2 linked regions of the Nothobranchius furzeri genome follow. The protein of the gene in region 1 interacts with the protein of each later gene in a pairwise test. Links are inferred from orthologs where the notes say so. Each region holds a gene or a part of one and is shown in the gene's direction. Other genes may lie near its edges.

What was found. The genes of interacting proteins can lie anywhere in the genome.
Region 2: the proteins of rwdd1 (region 1) and drg2 interact in binary tests that used the Homo sapiens proteins (3 or more experiments, as listed by UniProt). The link is inferred for Nothobranchius furzeri from reciprocal best matches to the Homo sapiens genes RWDD1 and DRG2.

Annotation. Positions count from the first base shown.
Region 1 is NC_091745.1:58,580,520-58,586,148, forward strand, and holds the start of rwdd1 (RWD domain-containing protein 1), read left to right. Parts: upstream 1-1,659; 5' UTR 1,660-1,779; coding exon 1,780-1,852; intron 1,853-2,223; coding exon 2,224-2,289; intron 2,290-2,615; coding exon 2,616-2,746; intron 2,747-2,928; coding exon 2,929-3,072; intron 3,073-3,218; coding exon 3,219-3,351; intron 3,352-5,301; coding exon 5,302-5,364; intron 5,365-5,629. UniProt on the Homo sapiens protein: Protects DRG2 from proteolytic degradation.
Region 2 is NC_091752.1:63,806,204-63,811,099, forward strand, and holds the end of drg2 (developmentally-regulated GTP-binding protein 2), read left to right. Parts: intron 1-1,078; coding exon 1,079-1,137; intron 1,138-1,239; coding exon 1,240-1,293; intron 1,294-3,873; coding exon 3,874-3,960; 3' UTR 3,961-4,176; downstream 4,177-4,896. UniProt on the Homo sapiens protein: Catalyzes the conversion of GTP to GDP through hydrolysis of the gamma-phosphate bond in GTP. When hydroxylated at C-3 of 'Lys-21' by JMJD7, may bind to RNA and play a role in translation.

The DNA of each region.
Region 1 (5,629 bases):
ATCATAATGTTCCCTTCCGTACTCCAGACACTTTTCCAAAACACTTTAAAGGTGTAGTTCACTAAAAAAACTGAATTTTTAATGAGAATTTCTGATAATAATCAGTCTTTGAGATTTTCATGCAGACTGAACATGAAAATAGTCTCCTACACCTATCTCCTGCATTAGCTTCTGATAGAAAATAGGCAGTGAAAGGCTAGGACTTGAAAAAAGTCTGACAGATCTACACTGTCACTTAACATTCATGGAATCACCCACCTTGACTCATGACGGGGAAGTTGTTGGTTTAGCGTCCAGCAGAGAACATCTCAGCTTGTGGAAGCTAACTGTTAGCATAACAACTTCACCGTACAGCAGAAGCTCCTACAGGCTTGTGTAAGTTGTGGAGATAAATTATCAACTTTACAGAGCAAACAGAGTCAGTGGTAGAGTCACCCTGCTGTTATCCAATCCAGGGTGAGATGTCCAATTATCAGGAAATAAGACTCCAAAACCTGCCTTCTGAAGCTTTTTTTTAAAACAAGTTTTATTTAACCAATGAAGCTTACAGGCTTACATAAGAATCAATATTTACAGTTGAATTCTGAGCATGACATATATATATATATATTACATCAAACAACATTATTAGGAGTAAAGGAAACATTCACCAAATTGTTATAGAGCCAAATGGCTTTCTTGGAACTACATGGAATCCATAAAGGATGCAAGTTCTTTAAATAAAAACAATAAAGATCGGTTTGATATTGCCAAATTTACATTTGTGTATAAAGAATTTGGCGAAAATAATCAAATTATTGACAGTGAATTGCTGCATTTTATTCTCCAAACTAATACCATACTTGATGTCAGAAAAAGATAAGGAGCGTATAATGAAATTATTATGCGTTAACCACGAGTGAAAACTATCCCAGAAAATTTTGGTAAAGATGCATGTGAAAAATAAATGTATCTCAGTTTCTATATTAGAAGTGCAAAAGGCACAATCGTTCTCTCCAATAGCCTTCTGAAGCTCAGTTGTGATGTGAGCAACTTTAGGTCCAGGAAATGGTGCACCAGATTTAAAAAATAATGCTGTAAACAAATAGTCTTTTCAGAAACATAAATAATTATTTTTTAAATGTTTTTTTTTAATTTACAAAAGATAAAAGTAAGTGACCCAAAACATCCAGCCAAAGTCATTAAGAACTGTCTTCAGCGTGAAGAACCAGAAGTCCTGGATGGTCTGGCCCCCCACAGAGCCCTGATCTCAACATTACATGGAGACAGAATGATGTGAGGAAGCCTACATCCACAGAAGATCTGTAGTTAGTTCTCCAAGATGTTTGGAACAACCTACAAGCCCAGTTCCTGCGACAACGGTGTGCACGTGTAGGTAGAAGAAAGTGGTCACAATAATTACTGATTTTTCTTTTGTTCACTCATTCCTTTTTTAATTGGTTTTTGAATAAGCTATCTTGTTTTATCATTTTCTGCTTTCTATTCTTTATTATTACTACAATATACTACTTTATTTATAATACAATCACACTGCAGTGCTTCATTGTTAGATGCTAAATAGAAATGATACCGTTGATTCTGTTTTAAGCTCAGAGAGAACAATCTGGTTCCACTCTTGTCCAGCAGGTGGCAGTAACGCGCCTTACGTAGGCCACAGTTTGTCAGACCAAATGTTCGATCCTTGATATCATCGATTGATAGTGAGTGGGTCCCTCGCGGTAGCGTTTTTGTGCCTGTCATGGTTCTATTGAAGACCAGATAACCTTCAGATACTCAAAAATGACGGACTACCTTGAAGAGCAAAGAAATGAACTTGAAGCTATAGAATCCATCTATCCTGACTCGTTTACAGGTTCGATCTTCGTCACGTTTTAATTTCTAGCTTCCAGCTAGCAGGCGTCAGCTAACCGATTAGAACAGCATTTTCCCGGTGTGTTCCCAGATATGAAGGCTAGGCTGACATAGGGGTTGTCCAGTTCCTGGGACTACAGTCGGGTTTAACCTACTGAACCCAAGACCGATTCCGTTTTTACTTCTGGAGTGTGTTTGAACATGCTAGTAGCTAAAGAACATCTGGAAGTTCCATGGTGGAACACAGAGTTAAAGCATCTATGTAGCTGCAATGTTGGAACGTTTAATTGTGGAGTGAATTTCAAACTTTAGTGTTTATCTGAACCTGTTGGTATGAGTTCATAGAGATTATTTCCTCTGATGTGCTCTCAGTGCTGTCTGAAGACCCCACCAGTTTCACCATCAATGTGACGTCAGATGCTGGGGAACACGGCGAGAGTGAGTACACCTCATACTCTCCTCCCACGCCCCCTAGCCTTCTATACCTCCAACACCTTTTACATCTAGCACACTTTTCACCATCACATCAAAACTCAGCTTTTGGATCACCTCTGCCAGTGTGCTGTGGCTACGATGCAGCTCATCACCACCAGAGTGAATGGATGAATAACTGTAGTGTAAAGCACTTTGGACTCATCTGGCTCAGACTGGCACTGTACAAGTGCAGGTCATTCATCACGTGTGATTGGGAGGTTTTGTTTCAAACGCCAGTCATTGAGTTTCTGTGTAAGGTGTCATAACAAACAGCTTTCTGTTTGTTACAGCGGTGGAAGCAACGCTAAGGTTTACATATGTAGCCAAATACCCTGATGAGCCTCCGTTGTGGGAGATCTACTCCCAGGAGAACCTGGAGGACCAGGATGCGGAGGACATCCTCACCTTACTGCAGCAGCAGGTCTGTCAGTACATGTCGCCTTCACTCTCTGTAAACGTTGGGTGTCTTCAGGAATGAGCTCAGACTGTCTTGGGGTGAATGGTAACTCTGCATATGAAAGGCTCAAACTGTTTCAGGTCATTTTTAGGTGTTTTAACATCCGGTTGTTGGTCTGATTTCATGTGATTCGTGTCACTCTTCAGGCTGAGGAGAACTTGGGGATGGTGATGATTTTTACCCTGGTGACAGCTGTCCAGGAAAAACTAAATGAAATAGTGGATGCAATGAAAAACAGGCAAGAAGAGGAACGACGTCAGAAAGAGAAGGAAGCAGAGGAAGCAGAGAAGGTAATGGTGATTAGTCTTATTTTAGATTAAGCAACAGGCACTGAGGATTTTCCTGTTCGACTTAAGGCATGACCAGATTTTTCATCCATCTCCCTGGGCTCAGTGCTGCTTTGATTTTCTGTTAATGGTTTCTCCCTGTTTGGTAGGTGGCGTTCCAGGGCACAGTGGTGACCATTGAAAACTTCCTGGCATGGAAAGCCAAGTTTGAGCTGGAGATGACGGAACTTAGAAGAAAAAGACAGAAAGAGGAGGAGCAGGCTGGAAAACCCAAACTGACTGGTAAGCCTGTTGGTCCAGATTCCCAGGATGGGGCTGATCAGGAGTCTCATTGATCAAACATTGTGTAGAATACTTACTAAAACCGTACTTAAGCTCAGCAAAAAAATGTATTTATGCCAAGTAGGTTTGTGATCTATCAAACTTGGAGTACACACAGCTGCACGCAATCTCCGCTTAATAAATCAGAGACTAACGAGAAAGGTTCTCAGCTGTTTCTGAGTCACATCCCGCCCTCAACACACCCACTTACTGCCTTAAATGGTCAATGCAAAGTGCCTTGTGGATCTCATGCATATACATAAGCCGGCTGTTGCAGCGCTCCGCCAATGACGATGGCGACCGTAGATCAAGGAAGCGCTATTTCACAGAAGCAGAAATTGAGGTACTTGTAGGTGAGGTGGAGAAATGAAAGGAAGTGCTTTTGCAAAACAAATAAGAGAAAATCCACGGAGTGGCACAGCGTTGCTGAAGCCGTCAATGTTGTGAATTTTTCAGAGAGATCTGTGGTGGAGATTAAAAAAAAGTGGTCCGATTGGGACTCGATCCCCAGACTCCTGCGTGAAAGTCACGCGCTAACCAGTTAGCCAAAGGGACATCCCCTTGTCCAAGTAGCCAGGGCGCATGATCAATCAGGTCACAGTGACAAGACACTCACACCGTCACAGACGCATGACATTCTGTCTCAATCTGTCCCCCTGCTGATATTCAGCATTCCGTATTCTGCGCTTCAAGCTGTGTGTGTGTGCGGGGGGGGGGGGGGGGTCTTGTTCTGTGTGAAAACGAAGCAGTACAAGTGATAATGCTGCAGGATTTCATAATTGTATCCTTCTCAGCAGCAGCACTGCAGGTGCTCTCCATGTCCAAAATGTGCGTAAGCCAGGTCCTTAGTCAACTTAAAGTTGCGCACATTTTTCCGCTAAGTTTTCTTTTATAAATCCTAGTTTGCGTGGAAAGTTGCTTACGCAGTTTTCCGACCCCGTTTTGTGCGTAAGCAAGCTTGATAAATGAGACCCCTGCTCCTCAGAGAAGTTTTCTCACTTCAGACCTGACATGTGAGCAGTTTCACGGCTGTAGTGAGTTCTCCATTTAAAAAGGTAACACATGTAGAGTGCTTGAAACTGTAACTGAAATTGATTGTAGCACAATGGTGTTTCCACACTTGCAGCATTTAGTCAATTTAAATTTACCTCCATGGTTCAGTTCTTCTGAACAAAGTTGTTTTACCAGGATGCAGAACAAAAGAACCAAACCAAGACCTGCTGGAGGATGTGGGCTGGGCTTGTGGGATCGTGATGTGACCTTGATGTGAAACAATGACGAGGTTTAAGCTGTCGTTTGAGCCAAATGAACTCCCGTAGCCAGGTTTGTGTTGCGTTCTAGGATGCAGGAAGCCACTTGCGCATCAGCAGCTATGAGTAGCTCCTAGCTAACTGGAGAAGAAATGGGGGCTAGCATGGACAAGCAACAAAATCCATCATCCTGACTGATATTTGAGCTGATTTATCAGTTCTGACTCAGAAAACACTGAAGAGTTAAAATATGGAGGAGGGGTGAGAGTGCGTCGTCCGTTAGTTCAGGATCTGAACACTCAACCTTCTTCCGGTATTTATTCATAGTAGCCCCGCCCCTAGAATCTAATCTGACCAATCAGCAGATTCTCATATTTCCAGTTCTGATAATGCAGCATTGAAACTGGTTTGACACCTTCATGTGTCGCCTTTCTTCACGCCCTAAACATCTCAGATGTGGACCAGGTTGACCTTCAGAGGGTGATGTGAGCTGGCACTCCAGCTCATCACAGTGAAAGCTCGGTTCTCTGCACTTCCCACTGTGACAACTCTAATCGAACGTCTTCTAAAAACAACAATCCAGTTGTCTTTTCCACAAACCAGTGAAAACACACCAGAGCTGACTACAGAAACACCGACACCAGAATCTGTTTGTCTTCAGGTAAACAGCTCTTTGAGAGGGATCACAACCTCGACACGTCGGATATTCAGTTTCTTGAAGATGGTAAGTTCTTCTTTAATTATTCACGTGCTGCAGCTGTTCAGCCCTTTTAAACAAGAAGGAACGGTTTTTAAATCCATTAAAATGATCTTTGCACAAACTCCAGCTCTCCACTTTAACCAGAATAAATATGTAATCTGCTAATAAAGTGCTGAGGGAATCAGCTTAGATCTGTTCCTGCACAAAGACCGGAGCTTGTCTTGTATCTTAATCTGAATTTGGCATAAAACTGTACGTTTAGGTTTGAGATAAGAAGGTGAAATAAATC
Region 2 (4,896 bases), on another chromosome or scaffold:
CCCTCCAGGACCCCCTAAAGCCGGGCGTACACTGTGCGACTTTTTCACTTTTTTGAGCCGATTTTCCAGTCGTGCGAGAAGCCACGACATCGGGGCGAGTTTTGCGCCGAGCGGTCGTGTAGTGTACAGGGGGTTACGAGAGGCGATTAACACCACGTGACCAGCCGCCGATCAGCAGTCATGAGGTCGCAGGGACTTCTGGTGTGTTTAATATTTCGCTCGTCCCTCGTGAGGGTATCGCACTGTTGAAGCGGCGCTGCGAGCAGCTGCGAGCAGCTACGATCCAAAAAGTATCAGAACCGCTCACGGCGCATGCGCGCGCGATCCTGCATCAACGCCGGCCGGTCGCTCGCTATTTCCATAATAACACACGCTGTGCGTTTTTGTTTCTACACGTTTTTTTTACTCACAAAGATTGTCAAGAAAGCGTGTTTGTCGTGTTCATGTCAAATTAAACTGATCACAAAACACAGATTTACTTTCTTTATTTCGTTTCCTCATCCAACCCCCATAAATCCCTGTGTGTCCTCCTGCAGCATGCCCGAAGGACAACAGGCAAGACAAAAAAGTCTGACGTGTTGAGTAAAAACTGCTATTTTTAGCACATTTTTAGGGCCGACGTGTTGCTACCAGACGTACAGTGTGAGCAGTCAGGTCGCATGCGAGAACTGGGTCGTGCAGTGTGAGCACACGACTCGTGAGATCTGCTCTGCGAGGAAGTCGTACAGTTTGAGCTGAAGCTGAACGCTGCGAGTGAAAAAGTCGCACAGTGTACGCCCGGCTTAAGGGTATAGAGGTGGCCCAGCGTTCCACGGCCAGGACGAAAACCACATTGCTCCTCCTGAATCTGAGGTTCGACAATCTGCCGGACCCTCCTCTCCAGAACCCCTGATTAGACGTTACCCCTGTAGTTGGAACACGTCCTGCAGTACCCCTTTTTAAACGAGGGACCGCAAAATCAGAAAATCCTGAATCAAACTGAAATCGCTATTCAATCTTTCCTTAAACTCGTTCAGCCCTAGTTTGCATAATAAATTTCAGAACTAAACTTTCTGGTAATGAAATGTTTCTGTGTTAGAGCGTCCTGATTTTAATGATGCCATTATCATGAGACGAGGAGCATCTGTAGAACATGTGGTAGGTAGAGCACACTGGCACTGTACAGATTCAAACTGAGCATTCAGTGTTTAAGTAAATTTGAAGGTCTTTAATTGTTGTTGTTGTTGTTTTTACCTACAGTGCCACAGAATCCACAGAACCTTAGCCAGCCAGTTCAAATACGCCCTGGTGTGGGTAAGTGAGGTTAAACCTTCACTGGTTTCTGTTGTTCTCTTGGAGCTGTAGATCAACAAACTGTTACAAATATTTTCTGTTTACAATGTTCTGAGGTCAACAGGGTTCAGGTTTGAAGAGAATATATTTTGCAAAACTCACCTTTTGCAAACCATCTGTCTATTTTCTGTAAGTGTTTGGATTTAGGAATTACATGCCTGAAACAAGTCGTTTAAAAAAGTTGCCGTTTGTGATGTCACAAGAAGGGTAATAAATTATAGAACCATGTATCACCTGTCTACACTTGAGGAGCAGTGGTTCTACTCCAAGCCTCTCCCAGATATCAGAGCTTCTCAGCTCATAGTAGCCAAGCAGGGAAGGGGTGGGCGTGGCCAGCTCTAGCTTGTTGTCTTAAAGTGACAGAGCCATGAAACGGCTCATTCTGGAAGGTACTGAAAATGTGCTCTTGGTTATTTATTTATTGCAGTTTCAAATTATTAAGACCTCATGAACACGAAGACATTTTATTCGTTAAAAAGTACAAAAACAATGCTGATGAATTTCCTTAAGCAAATTAGCGTGAATACAAGTTTTGAAAATCATAAAATCAAAATTAGGTGTCTCTAAATAAAAACTGGTCTATGTTGAAAAGAATAAAATTTTATTGTACAGGAAAGCAATGTCCCCTTACGATGGTGCGGGGTCAAAGTTCACATCAACACAAATATTAAAACTAAACAAGGAACTAACAAAAGAATCTTGAACAATCCCACATTTCACTTCCTTGCTTTTAACACAGTTGGTGATGGGAGTTTTAAACGGCTAACTTCCTAACCTCCTATAGCAGCTAGCTTTGCTGCAATGCTGAAGTTAGCTTGTGTGTTAACAGGAACAGCAATTGCGGATTAGATTTTTGACGTTTTTATTTCTGTTCTCTGTAACAGAGCTACAGCTGATGATGTTGTATTATTCTAACTTTGCTTCAGGTTTTGTAAAATTACTGTTAAAGCAACACTTAAGTTCCCAGCTTCTCCCTCCTTCTGGTTGAAAGCGGAATTGCAACTGCCAAGCAACCTTGCCGCAGCCTGCTGTAGCTAGAGCTAACAATAAGCTAATGCTAACTCAAGCCACAAATTACAAAAGATCCACACTGGTGGACAATATTATTACTTACAAGTCCAGCAACAAAGCCAGGTCACCATCAGTCCGTGATTTCATAACCTCCTTCAGCGCCCTCAAACGAGTGTAGGCCGCGCCGATGTTCACTCTGGTTTTAGTTCTTTGCTTCACCTCCAAAACATCACTCTTACTTTCAGGCTCCATCACGATGCCAACAAAAAGAAAAGTCTTCTTCTTGTGTTTTATCTTTTTTTTTTTATTAATGATCGGCAAACTGAAAGAGCTAACTGTTAGCCTTTATATGAGCTTCTGGCACAGCTGTTGCTTTAAAGCAGGTAGAGACCTCCCACTAGTGTTCCTACCCGAACTGTTTAGTGCAACTTCTGGTCAGCAGAGGGCGACAGAGTGCTGTCCAATGGGAAGTAGCTCTGGTTTCTGGCTCAAGAACCACTAAAACCAGTTTGAAAGCAATAACTTAAAGAGCAAGTCACCCCCAAATCAACTTTTTTTTTGCTGATAAACTATATAAATCGGTGTCTGATCGTACTGTAGACAGAAGTCATCAATAATTTGGTGCTGTAGTGCATCTTTGTTAAAATATAAATATTCTGCCTTAAACTGTCAGTGTTGCACCCTCTTCAGGTAAAAACTCTGCACTGCATTTTCATTTAAATCTGCCATTGCTATTGGCTAAGAAGTATCAAATCTCATCAGCTGGTACCATATGATGTCACAATGTCACTGTGAGCTTGTATTTGTTAGCAGCTCCGCCCTCTCGGTCTGCTAGGCAACAGCATTTGTTGCATTTTTCAAACAGGTAGTGGGAGTGGAGTAATACTCTGGGAGGAGGTGACTGGGGACTGCACACCATCAGAAAATGTAACTCCACCCCTAGTCAACATTTGAAAAATGCCATGAAAGTGGGCGTTGCCAGGAGGCAGGAAGTGGCATGGGCAAGTGTGGGGAATTTCCATCCTGGGAGGGAGGAGGAGTGGGAGGAGACTGTACTGATGGCGTGAAATTGTACCAGCCCCAGTCGATCACAAGTTTAAAATGCAGTAGCCACTGTTGTGCCACAGGGGGCAGCACTAAGACGTTTTTAGACCTAGATTCTAGATCTAATCAAGTTTACACAAGCATGTCAAAAAATGCACAGAAACGGAAAGATTGCATTTGTAAAAACTCAATTATACAGCTAATTAGCAAAAAAAAAAGTAATTTTGGTGTTTAGTTACTCTTTCAAGTGTTAAAATCTCTTTAGTGTTGCTTTAAGTGGCCCTATCCCTAAGCCACCATGGGGCCACACAAACATTTGGAAGTTTATTCTTTTTGCCATGCAAAACTAGATGAATAAGAATAGTGTAGACCTCTTTTTGTTGACAAATTGTCAAATTTCTCTCTGTTCCTTTTTTAAGAAAGCATTTTAATGAAACAGATTTACTAGCAAAGCGTTTCATCAGTAGTTCTGTGTTTTCTCTCCAGGGAACCAGTACCAAATACAGTCCTCAGAGGGTGGGCCTGACACACGTCATGGAGCACGAAGACGTCATCCAGATTGTAAAGAAGTGAAGAACTTGTTGTGATTGGACCGGACCGGCGTCAGAGGAGGAACTCTGTGCAGTAGTTATACAGCAAAGGAAAATAACCAACGTCCTTATTTTGTATAATAAGTTTAACAGTAAGTGGAAGAAAGGGAACGCTGCGGAGCAGATCCTGGACTGAAATCAGTTTATGTTACCGATGATTTAGAGAAAATGGGGAAATAAATTCCACATTTTAAAATAACGATGGGCTGTTTTATCATTCAAACACATCACCTGTTCAGCACCTGTTCCCATCCGTGCTAGCCTGCTGTTTGTTACCCCATCTCCAAAGCGAGCGGCCGCTTTCCTCTCGGAGCGAATGGCTCACACAAACACAATAGTGGTATTAAATATTAACGAGCACCTCTTTGGTCTGGGAGAGGGGCTCTGAGTGGGAGGCTTCATCCGAGACGCAGAGGAACTGGAAGTTGGACCTAAAGATGTCGTAATGATGTCTCGTCATTGGGCGTCGTGGATGAAGAGGTTCTGTTTCGGAATAACCTGAAGCGGAGCGCAGAGATGGAGCGTTCTGGAGCAGAATAACAAAGCAAAGGTACAGCAGGCTGGGTGTGTGTTGATCAGAGTTGGCCTGACACTTGATGCTGCTGTGTGTGTGTGTGAGGTCAGTAAACAAAAGCTGGAAATGTGCGTTTAGGAAGCAGTTTTTCTTGTTTTGTTATAAAACAGGGTTGGCCAACATTTTGTTTCAGAGATTATTCGATTATTCGTGGAACAGCGAGTTGGCACCTGGAAAACTTTCCTTGAACTCCTGTTGGTGGGTCAGAACTGAGCAGCATAAACATTTCTGCCAATAAAACACGACATCACACTCATCCGTGATGAGAGCCTCCCGTTCCACCACATCCCAAAGGTTCTGGAGTGGACTGAGGTCTGGTTACTGTGGAGGTTGTTCAGGGAACTC